Linked DNA regions of Lonchura striata. The main gene of each other region encodes a partner of the protein of the gene in region 2 in a complex. Links are inferred from orthologs where the notes say so. Each region holds a gene or a part of one and is shown on either strand. Other genes may lie near its edges.

What was found. The genes of interacting proteins can lie anywhere in the genome.
Region 1: the proteins of HRAS (region 2) and RASA1 are in contact, whole or in part, in a crystal structure (PDB 8BOS), measured with the Homo sapiens proteins. The link is inferred for Lonchura striata from reciprocal best matches to the Homo sapiens genes HRAS and RASA1. Residues at the interface, in NP_001123914.1 of Homo sapiens: Gly12, Gly13, Ser17, Ile21, Gln25, Asp30, Glu31, Tyr32, Asp33, Pro34, Thr35, Ile36, Glu37, Asp38, Ser39, Tyr40, Arg41, Gln61, Glu62, Glu63, Tyr64, Ala66, Met67, Lys88, Lys117; in NP_002881.1 of Homo sapiens: Gly746, Arg749, Glu783, Thr785, Thr786, Arg789, Ala790, Thr791, Glu799, Lys803, Ser833, Arg894, Gly898, Phe901, Leu902, Arg903, Cys906, Pro907, Leu910, Asn911, Met914, Arg928, Ile931, Ala934, Lys935, Gln938, Asn939, Asn942, Val944, Ala948.

What each region holds. Positions count from the first base shown.
Region 1 is NC_134642.1:53,188,671-53,192,414, reverse strand, and holds the start of RASA1 (ras GTPase-activating protein 1), read right to left. Parts: upstream 2,424-3,744; 5' UTR 2,308-2,423; coding exon 1,919-2,307; intron 1-1,918. UniProt on the Homo sapiens protein: Inhibitory regulator of the Ras-cyclic AMP pathway. Stimulates the GTPase of normal but not oncogenic Ras p21; this stimulation may be further increased in the presence of NCK1.
Region 2 is NC_134608.1:44,540,655-44,544,398, forward strand, and holds the start of HRAS (GTPase HRas), read right to left. Parts: upstream 2,193-3,744; 5' UTR 1,931-2,192; intron 1-1,930. UniProt on the Homo sapiens protein: Involved in the activation of Ras protein signal transduction. Ras proteins bind GDP/GTP and possess intrinsic GTPase activity.

The DNA.
Region 1 (3,744 bases), on a different chromosome or scaffold from region 2:
CAATATAAACACACCACTGCTGTGCTACATAAAAATGAAAACTCCCCGCCACACTTGAATAGACAAGCCTCATGTTAGTTTCACTCTAGGTCAGAGATTTAAAAAATCAACCCTACTGGGGGATTCTGAGTTTGCTAATAAAGAGAAGGTCTTATATGTTAATATCCTCCCATGGTTTGAATATTAAAGAATACACACTAAAAGAACACATATTCCCCAAACCTCCCTGAGCAAACTATATTACAACATCCTTATGCGAACTGCAGAACCTGCAGGTGCTTCATTTCCCATCTCTTCATACTAGTCACTGTGAAAGCCAGATGGCCAACTTTACACTATTTAAAAGTATACTCATGTTTAAAAAAGCACTTCTTAACATCTTTACAGCCTAAAAATTAGAAGACGAGGAATTCATACTGTATTTGGTTTGTGTTCGAGCTTTTTTGTTTGCTTTGGGCTTTTTTTTTTAATTTGCAAAACAAGCTCAGAGAAGCTTGTTATAGAAGCTATTACAATTTTATGTCCTACTTAAAAGGACAATGGCTCCTGAAATCCTAAGAGTATGTAACGTAATGCTGAAGTTAACTCTGTCAGTCAAGTTATGACAGAATATAAGGAATGAACCCAAAATTTCACAGATTTTTAGGTTAACTTTCTGACCTATCTATATATATCTCTTTAAATACAAATGTATGTTACTCCCTAAATTATCCACTATACTTGTAAGAACTACAAGAACAACATATTTATAGAAATTATACTAATGAAAAAATGTAAGCCTCTGAACCATTTCATTTTGGGGAGAATATGATAAGGAAATGGAAGAAAAGATTTATTCTCTATTCTAATACACACCTTGGAAATGCTTTGAGTAAACCTGTAAATCTTCTACAGTGAAATCCAAAGGCTGTGTTTAGAGTACTTACTAATTTCATGGATTCTCTATAACATTACCCGATCTTATATTTCACACAACTTCAACAAAGAACTAGTCTGCCTCTAGTGGAAGATTCTATTACTACCACTAAAGGAATCTAAATTAACCTGATGTACGGATAAATACAATAAAACCTAACTATAAGTTTACAGTTTATTCCAAATGTCTCCTCTCTCCAAGCACAACCTATATAAAAACAACTCTAAATTGGTTGAGCAGCAAGGTAGTTAAAACATTTATAAAAATACCAATCGGTTAACACTTTTAAAATTAAGAAATTATTTTAATTCCTTTTAAATCCATGATGCGAGAATTGAACTGCCTGAATTTTTAAAAAGATCGAACATGTGGACATTACTTTGGTTGATTATATATAAATTCGAAAAGGTAAGTTATCTTTTTTTTTTCAGCAGAAAGCAATACAATACAAAATGATGACATGGTAAATAAAGTCTTTTATGCCATGGATTTTTTTTTTCTATTTACTATTTATTTGTTTTTCTTTAGAAATTAAGGTTATGACTCTACTGTGAAGGGGATACCAGTGACTGGAAAAGTCTCCCCAACAGGTAGTTTAAACCACAAGCAGAATACCTCACTCTTCCTGGCAGCCTCTGCAGTACTGCTATGAAAACTTGCAAAAAACTAACTCAGTCGCCCTTTTCCCGTAAGCTGATCCCACTCAGTACAGGAGGACCAGCTCCCCGTGAAGGGGAAGGAGTCCAACCTCCCTGCTGCTGCCGCTCACTCTCCCGACTTTCGGGTGGGCTGCGCTCCGCAGACTACGGGCAGTGTCCCCGCGAAGCAAACTTCCTGCTGGAACGGAACCAGAGGAGGGAGGGAAGGTGACGAGGTGGGACGCAAAGCTCCTGCGAGACTTCCAGCCGAGTTTGACATACACTTTTCTCGGCTAGCGGTGGGGGGTCGACAGCACGGTACCCACTCCCCACAATGACTGAGGCGGGGGCGGTGGGTACTCACTGATTGGTGGGGGGCGCGTTGAGCGGAATGGCCACCTCTTCTTCCTCGTACTCCGGTCCGTCCAGTGAGTCTCCCTCGTCCACTGTCCCCAGCCCCCCAGCCAGCGGGGGCGGTGGTGGCGGCGGCGGCAGCGGGGGGAAGCCTAGATCGGCAGCCCCAGCGGTCGCTGGAGGGGCTGGCCCCGCGCCCAGCTCCAGCAGCCCCAGAACCGAGCACAAATCCGGCCCGCCTGGGGGGCCGCCGCCGACAAGGAAGAGGCTTTGCGGCTCCGGCGCCCGGCCACGGCACAAGGCGGGGCAGTGCCCCAGCTCTCCTGCTGCGGCGGCTCCCGCCGTCCCGGCGACAGCGCCCGAGACTCCCTCCTCACCCGTGGCCTCGGCCGCCATCATGTTGAGCCTCGCCAACGGCCTCACGCCGGGGAGGAGGCGACAAAGGGGCTCTGGGCCCCTGCCCCCAGCGCGCCTCCCCCCGACGCGGCAGGCAGCGGACTCGGGAGGCGGCTGAGTCTTCCCGGCGGAGACGGGCCGGGAACAATGCCCGGCTGGGCGGGGGCTGGACCGCTCCACAGGGCCCCGCGCGGCTGCCTCGGTCCGCGACCGCCCCAGGGAAGCGCCGCCCTCCTGGGGAGCTCCGCGCTTGCGCGGCACCTCTGCGCCTGCGCGGGCGGTACAGCGCCGGCCGGGCGCAGATAGCTGCGGATAGCTACGGTTATGCGGTCTAGGGAAATAAAGGGCTCGTTCCGCGGTCGAGTGGGTGGGAACGTGCGGGGGTAGGGTCGGATTCACTAGCTCAGCCCAACATAAGTACTGTAACTCTGGACCCGTATGATCCAGTGCCAGATCCGGAAGCCTTTTGAACACCTCCAGGGATGATGACTTCATTATCTCCCTAGGCAACGTGTTCCAATGCCTGACCACCCTAACAGTGAAGAAAAGCTATTGGGCGTCTTCCAGCTCAGCTTATTCTGTATGATTCTGTATAATCTGAATCTCTTCCGTCTCAGTTTGAAGCCATTTCCCCTGATCCTGCCACTGCAGATACAGTAGAAGAAACCAGTCCCTACCTCTCTATGCCCTTCCTTCAAGTATTGATAGAACAAGTGGAAACGGTTTTGTCAAGGGGACATTAGACTGGATGTTAGGAAAAAATATTTTATTGAAAGGGTGGACAAGCACTGGAACAGGCTCCTGGGGCAGCACCTGTCAGTGTTAGGTTCATGGTTAGATTTGATATGGGTAGTATTTACCAACCTTAATGACTTTGATTCAATTCTAACTATGGATTTTAAAAATACATCCTGGTGGTACCGTTTACCTTGTAAGAACTGTGACTAAGAGTCTGCTTTACTCTGTACTTCTCTGAAACTGTATTTTTGTCATGTTACTCAAGCTTGCAAACTCTCAATCCCACCTTAAGCAAATCTATACCTAAACTTCACTATCAACCATTTTTCTCCCTAAAGTGGGTTTCTTTCATACATCAGCTTCACTTCATACCTCTGGGATCAAGAAGACATCATGTGATGGCCCTTACCCGGCAGTACAGTATGTAGCTATCTTCAGATTTTTTTGTTTTTTTCCTCCCAGTGCTAAAAGAGCTGACAAATAGCAGCACGTTTACACTTGCATGCTTCTCTGCAGTTCTCAAAAAGCATCTAAACATTCAGGTTTTCAAAGCTTTGTGTTACCCAAAAGTATTAAGTTAATTTTTCCTGAGGCAATTAGAACAATCTACTGCTCCCACTTTCACAGCTCTCAAGCTCTTTTTATCTGCTGAAATTGTTTCATATCTTTCCTTCTGAGGGCAAACTCTGCTTCCAATTTACA
Region 2 (3,744 bases):
AGAAAAGTGTCCCTCAGGTCATAAGTCCTGTTTAAATATCTCAGCAATATCCCAAACTGAGATAATTATTGCTAATTACAAGATCATTTTTATGTAAACATGAAGGGTATTACCATGCATACTTCATCTCTTTTTAATTAAAAGAAGTAAGAAGTTAGCTGAGATAAAAAAAAAGACATGCTGACAGCTCCCACCCAAAAGCAGACTCTTCTGCAGTGATAACACCCATCAGCTTCCAGACCCACCGAGAAGACTGAAAAGGGAAATCAATCAGCATCAGCCTCCCCAGTGCTGAAATGAAGCAGTTGGCACATTATTAATCACACAGAAAAAACGTTTTACGAGGAGAAGGAAACGACCAGACACACAGAGGGGTGATACACATAGCTTCAGACATGGCTGTCTTAAAAACACTTGGGAAAATGACACAAATCACCAGCTGTAGAATTAAAATACTTCACGACTGTGAAGGATAAACACATCAGCAATTCTGACTACAGCAACTCTTTAGCTGAGCCCACACCAAACCTCATGTGCTTTCCTCCATTCAAAACCAGTTCCTGCTCCAAGATGCACATCCTACCCATGCCAACCAGACTGAAATACATCGTGACACAGCTTCACCAGGAGTTCATACCTTTTCTGCATTTCAAAGACCTACCCAGGAGCAACTTGTGTATCACAGGCTACAAGCGATATGACCATCCAACTCAGGACACTGAAATAGTCAATGGCTTGACTTGCCATGCAATGGCTTAACAAGCCATTCCTGCTGCACAGTCCTGTTTCCAGCTGTCCTAAGCATTTCTCCAGTAGCTCCAGAGTTTGCCAGTCCACTCTGACTTCTCATCATCTGTCTCCAGGCACGCTCCACTATTTGAGGCAATTCAAAACACATTCCCAGTCAGGAGCTGTATGGGCCAAGCGAGCCATCAGATGCACCTTCACTTGGGGTGAAGACGCTGCAGCCCCGGACGGCGCGATACCCTTGGCAGGGCAGCAGGGCGCAGGAAGGCTCGGCACGCTGCAGAGCCCCGGCGGCCAGCGTCCCTCGGAGGGAGGGAGAGAGAGGAGGGAGGTGTCACCAGCTCCGCAGAGCCGCATGCTCGCAGAACGGGGGACCTCGCTCACTCGCTCACAGCTGCACACCAATACCTGCGCCTCCGCCACCTGCCTGCCCTCTCCGCGCCTCGCTCCGGGCCTGGCGGCGCCTGGCAGCGCCAGGGAGCCGGTCTCTCCTGGGGGTGTCAGAGCCCAGTAGGTACCCGCTTTGGCCAAGAGTGGGAGTCTGCTGCTCCCCTTTTGAAGCATCACAGGACAGCGTGAGGGATGCAAGGGGATGAGGGAAGACGGGTGCAGTGGGCTGCAAACTGGGGGTGCGAAGAAGAGGAGGTGAACACGGCTGCAGCTAAGGGAGACGGAGGGGCGCGGGACGGCAAGGGAGGGAAGGAAAAAGGGCTGCAGCCTGGGAGGAGGACAGGAGTGCACAGAATCGGCAGAAGGAGGGCAGGGGATGGAGGGCAGAGAGCATGGAGGGCAAAGGGGGTACAGAGGCTGCGGCTCGGTGGTACCCCGCCACCCTCCCACGCCGGCGGCCTGCCGGGGCTCGGGTCGGCAGGCAGCGCCCAGGCAGCAGAGTCATGGCGCGGCCAGGCGAGCAGGTGGGTGGCCGCCACCGCCCCCAACACCCCGGGCCCCGCCGCCGCCCACCGGGCCGAGGGTCCGTTCCTTTTCACCGCCGCCCCGGGCACGGCGGGCACAGCCGCAGCACAGTGGGGGCACGAACTTGGCGGCGGGGGGAACAGCCCCGCTAACAGGTGGCGGCGGCGCTGCCGACCCGTCCCCGCCGAGCCGGTGGGCGCTGCCCCTGCGCGACGGCGCGTCCCACCCACCCCGACCCAGCGCCAGCCCGCTCCCGGCGGTCACTCACCGGCTCGCCCACCCCGCCGGCCGGGATGCGCGTCCTGGAGAGCGGAGCGCGGAAGTTTAAAGCCGGATAGCAGTATTCGCTTTTGCCCTTCCAATGTAGGAAAAACCAAACTAGACGAGGCGCCCCCCCAGGCGGGCGAAACCCCGCTCCGCTCCTCCCCGCCGGGGGCTTCAGCCGCGCGTCGGCCCGGCGGCGAGGGGAAGTTTCCACCGCGGTGGTGGAGGCGCCCCCGGCGTGCCGCGCCCGCCCCGCATTGGCACGGGGCGCCGGGGCGCTGTGCCGCCGCCGCGCCCGGACAATGTGCGTGCGGGGAGAGCGGGAGCGGAGCGGGAGCGCGCCCCGCCGGCGGCCGCGGCACACGCCCAGCCCGCGCCCCGCCCGCCCGCCGCTCGGCGCCCGCCCGCCGCCCCTGATTGGCGGCCCCCGCCGCCTCCGCCCTCCGGGTGGGCCGCCCGCCCGTCAATCTCCGCCGCCGCCCGCCCGCCGCGGCCCGGCCGCGGGGCGGTCCCTGGGGCGGCGGCGGCGGCTGCGGGGGGGCCGAGCGCTGCCTCGCCCCGGCGGGTGACCCCTGCTGCCTCCGCTCCCTGCGCCCCGGGAGCCGCCGCGACCGCGTCCTTTCCCCTCCGGGACCCGTGTGCGCTTCCCGCGCCGCGGCGGCCCCGCCGCAGGAGCGCCCCGCAGCCCCGGGGAGGGGAAGGCCTGGCGGCCGCCGCTCCCGCAGCCCGCCCTTCCCCGCGGGACTGCCGGGGCCGCGCTGCCTTTGTCGGCGCCCCACGGAGCCCTTCTGGGGAGGAGGACCGGAGACCCCCGAAATGTAGCGCTGATGGCCAGTCACGGTCCTGCGCTAAACTCGGCTCGCAGGGTGCGTTTATCTGGCCCCGGGAAATGGCTAGAAAAATAGATGACTCCAAATTATTCAAGTGCAATTAAGGCCACAAAGGAAAAGACACCTGAATTGACTCTGTACAAGGCAGATGGCGTTCAGTTAGGCTTAACACCAGAGATATGCACTGTCTGGGCAGAATTACTGCAATTTCAGATGAAGGTCCAAGCGTGTCGAAAGGCTCTCATCTGATCCTATTTGGGTGCCTCAAGGAGCACCGCTGAAGTAGAGCTAGTAAATATCGATGGACTCAAGCTTCATGTCCTGAAATCAGGTCTGTCAATCAGTGCTTCCCATTCTGCCACACTACACCAGACATTTTCTACTCTGGGCACTGTGATTCCCCTATTACTATTTGGAAACTGGATAGTGGATTGCATAGTCGCTGTATTTTCCAGCAGCTTGCAGAAGTCATCAAGCTTTGATGCAGAATATGATGCCAAATAAAGTAGGCACTCCTGGTACTGGAGAAGTACTGTTCTCTCTGACATATGTTTCAAGTACACTTTCACAATTTATTTCTTCCATTAGAAAAGTATCTAGTAATCTGAAAATCGATCTAAAAACCATTGTTCTAGATACATAATTTTGACACATAATAAAAAGAAAGCTCTTGCCCTGCAGAGCTTTGTATCAAGAGCAGATTAAACACATTCTAAAGATATACATTGAGAGAGTTGTGCAGGTTTTCTCAGGTCTCACAAACATGTTGCACCAGCACAAACAAACCTGCCGGAGCACTTTTCCAAAAACCAGCACGCCAGCAGACAGGTCCAAACAAAAAGGCTGAAGCTTTAACCTACCTTGAAACTCTTTCCTTGCTTCTAACAAGCCCTCCTGACTCTGAATGACCTCGTAGCTCTCCGCGGAAGCGAGGGCCGCAGCTCACGGAGAGCCAGCATCTCTCCCCAGCGAGCCGAGGGCAGAGCGG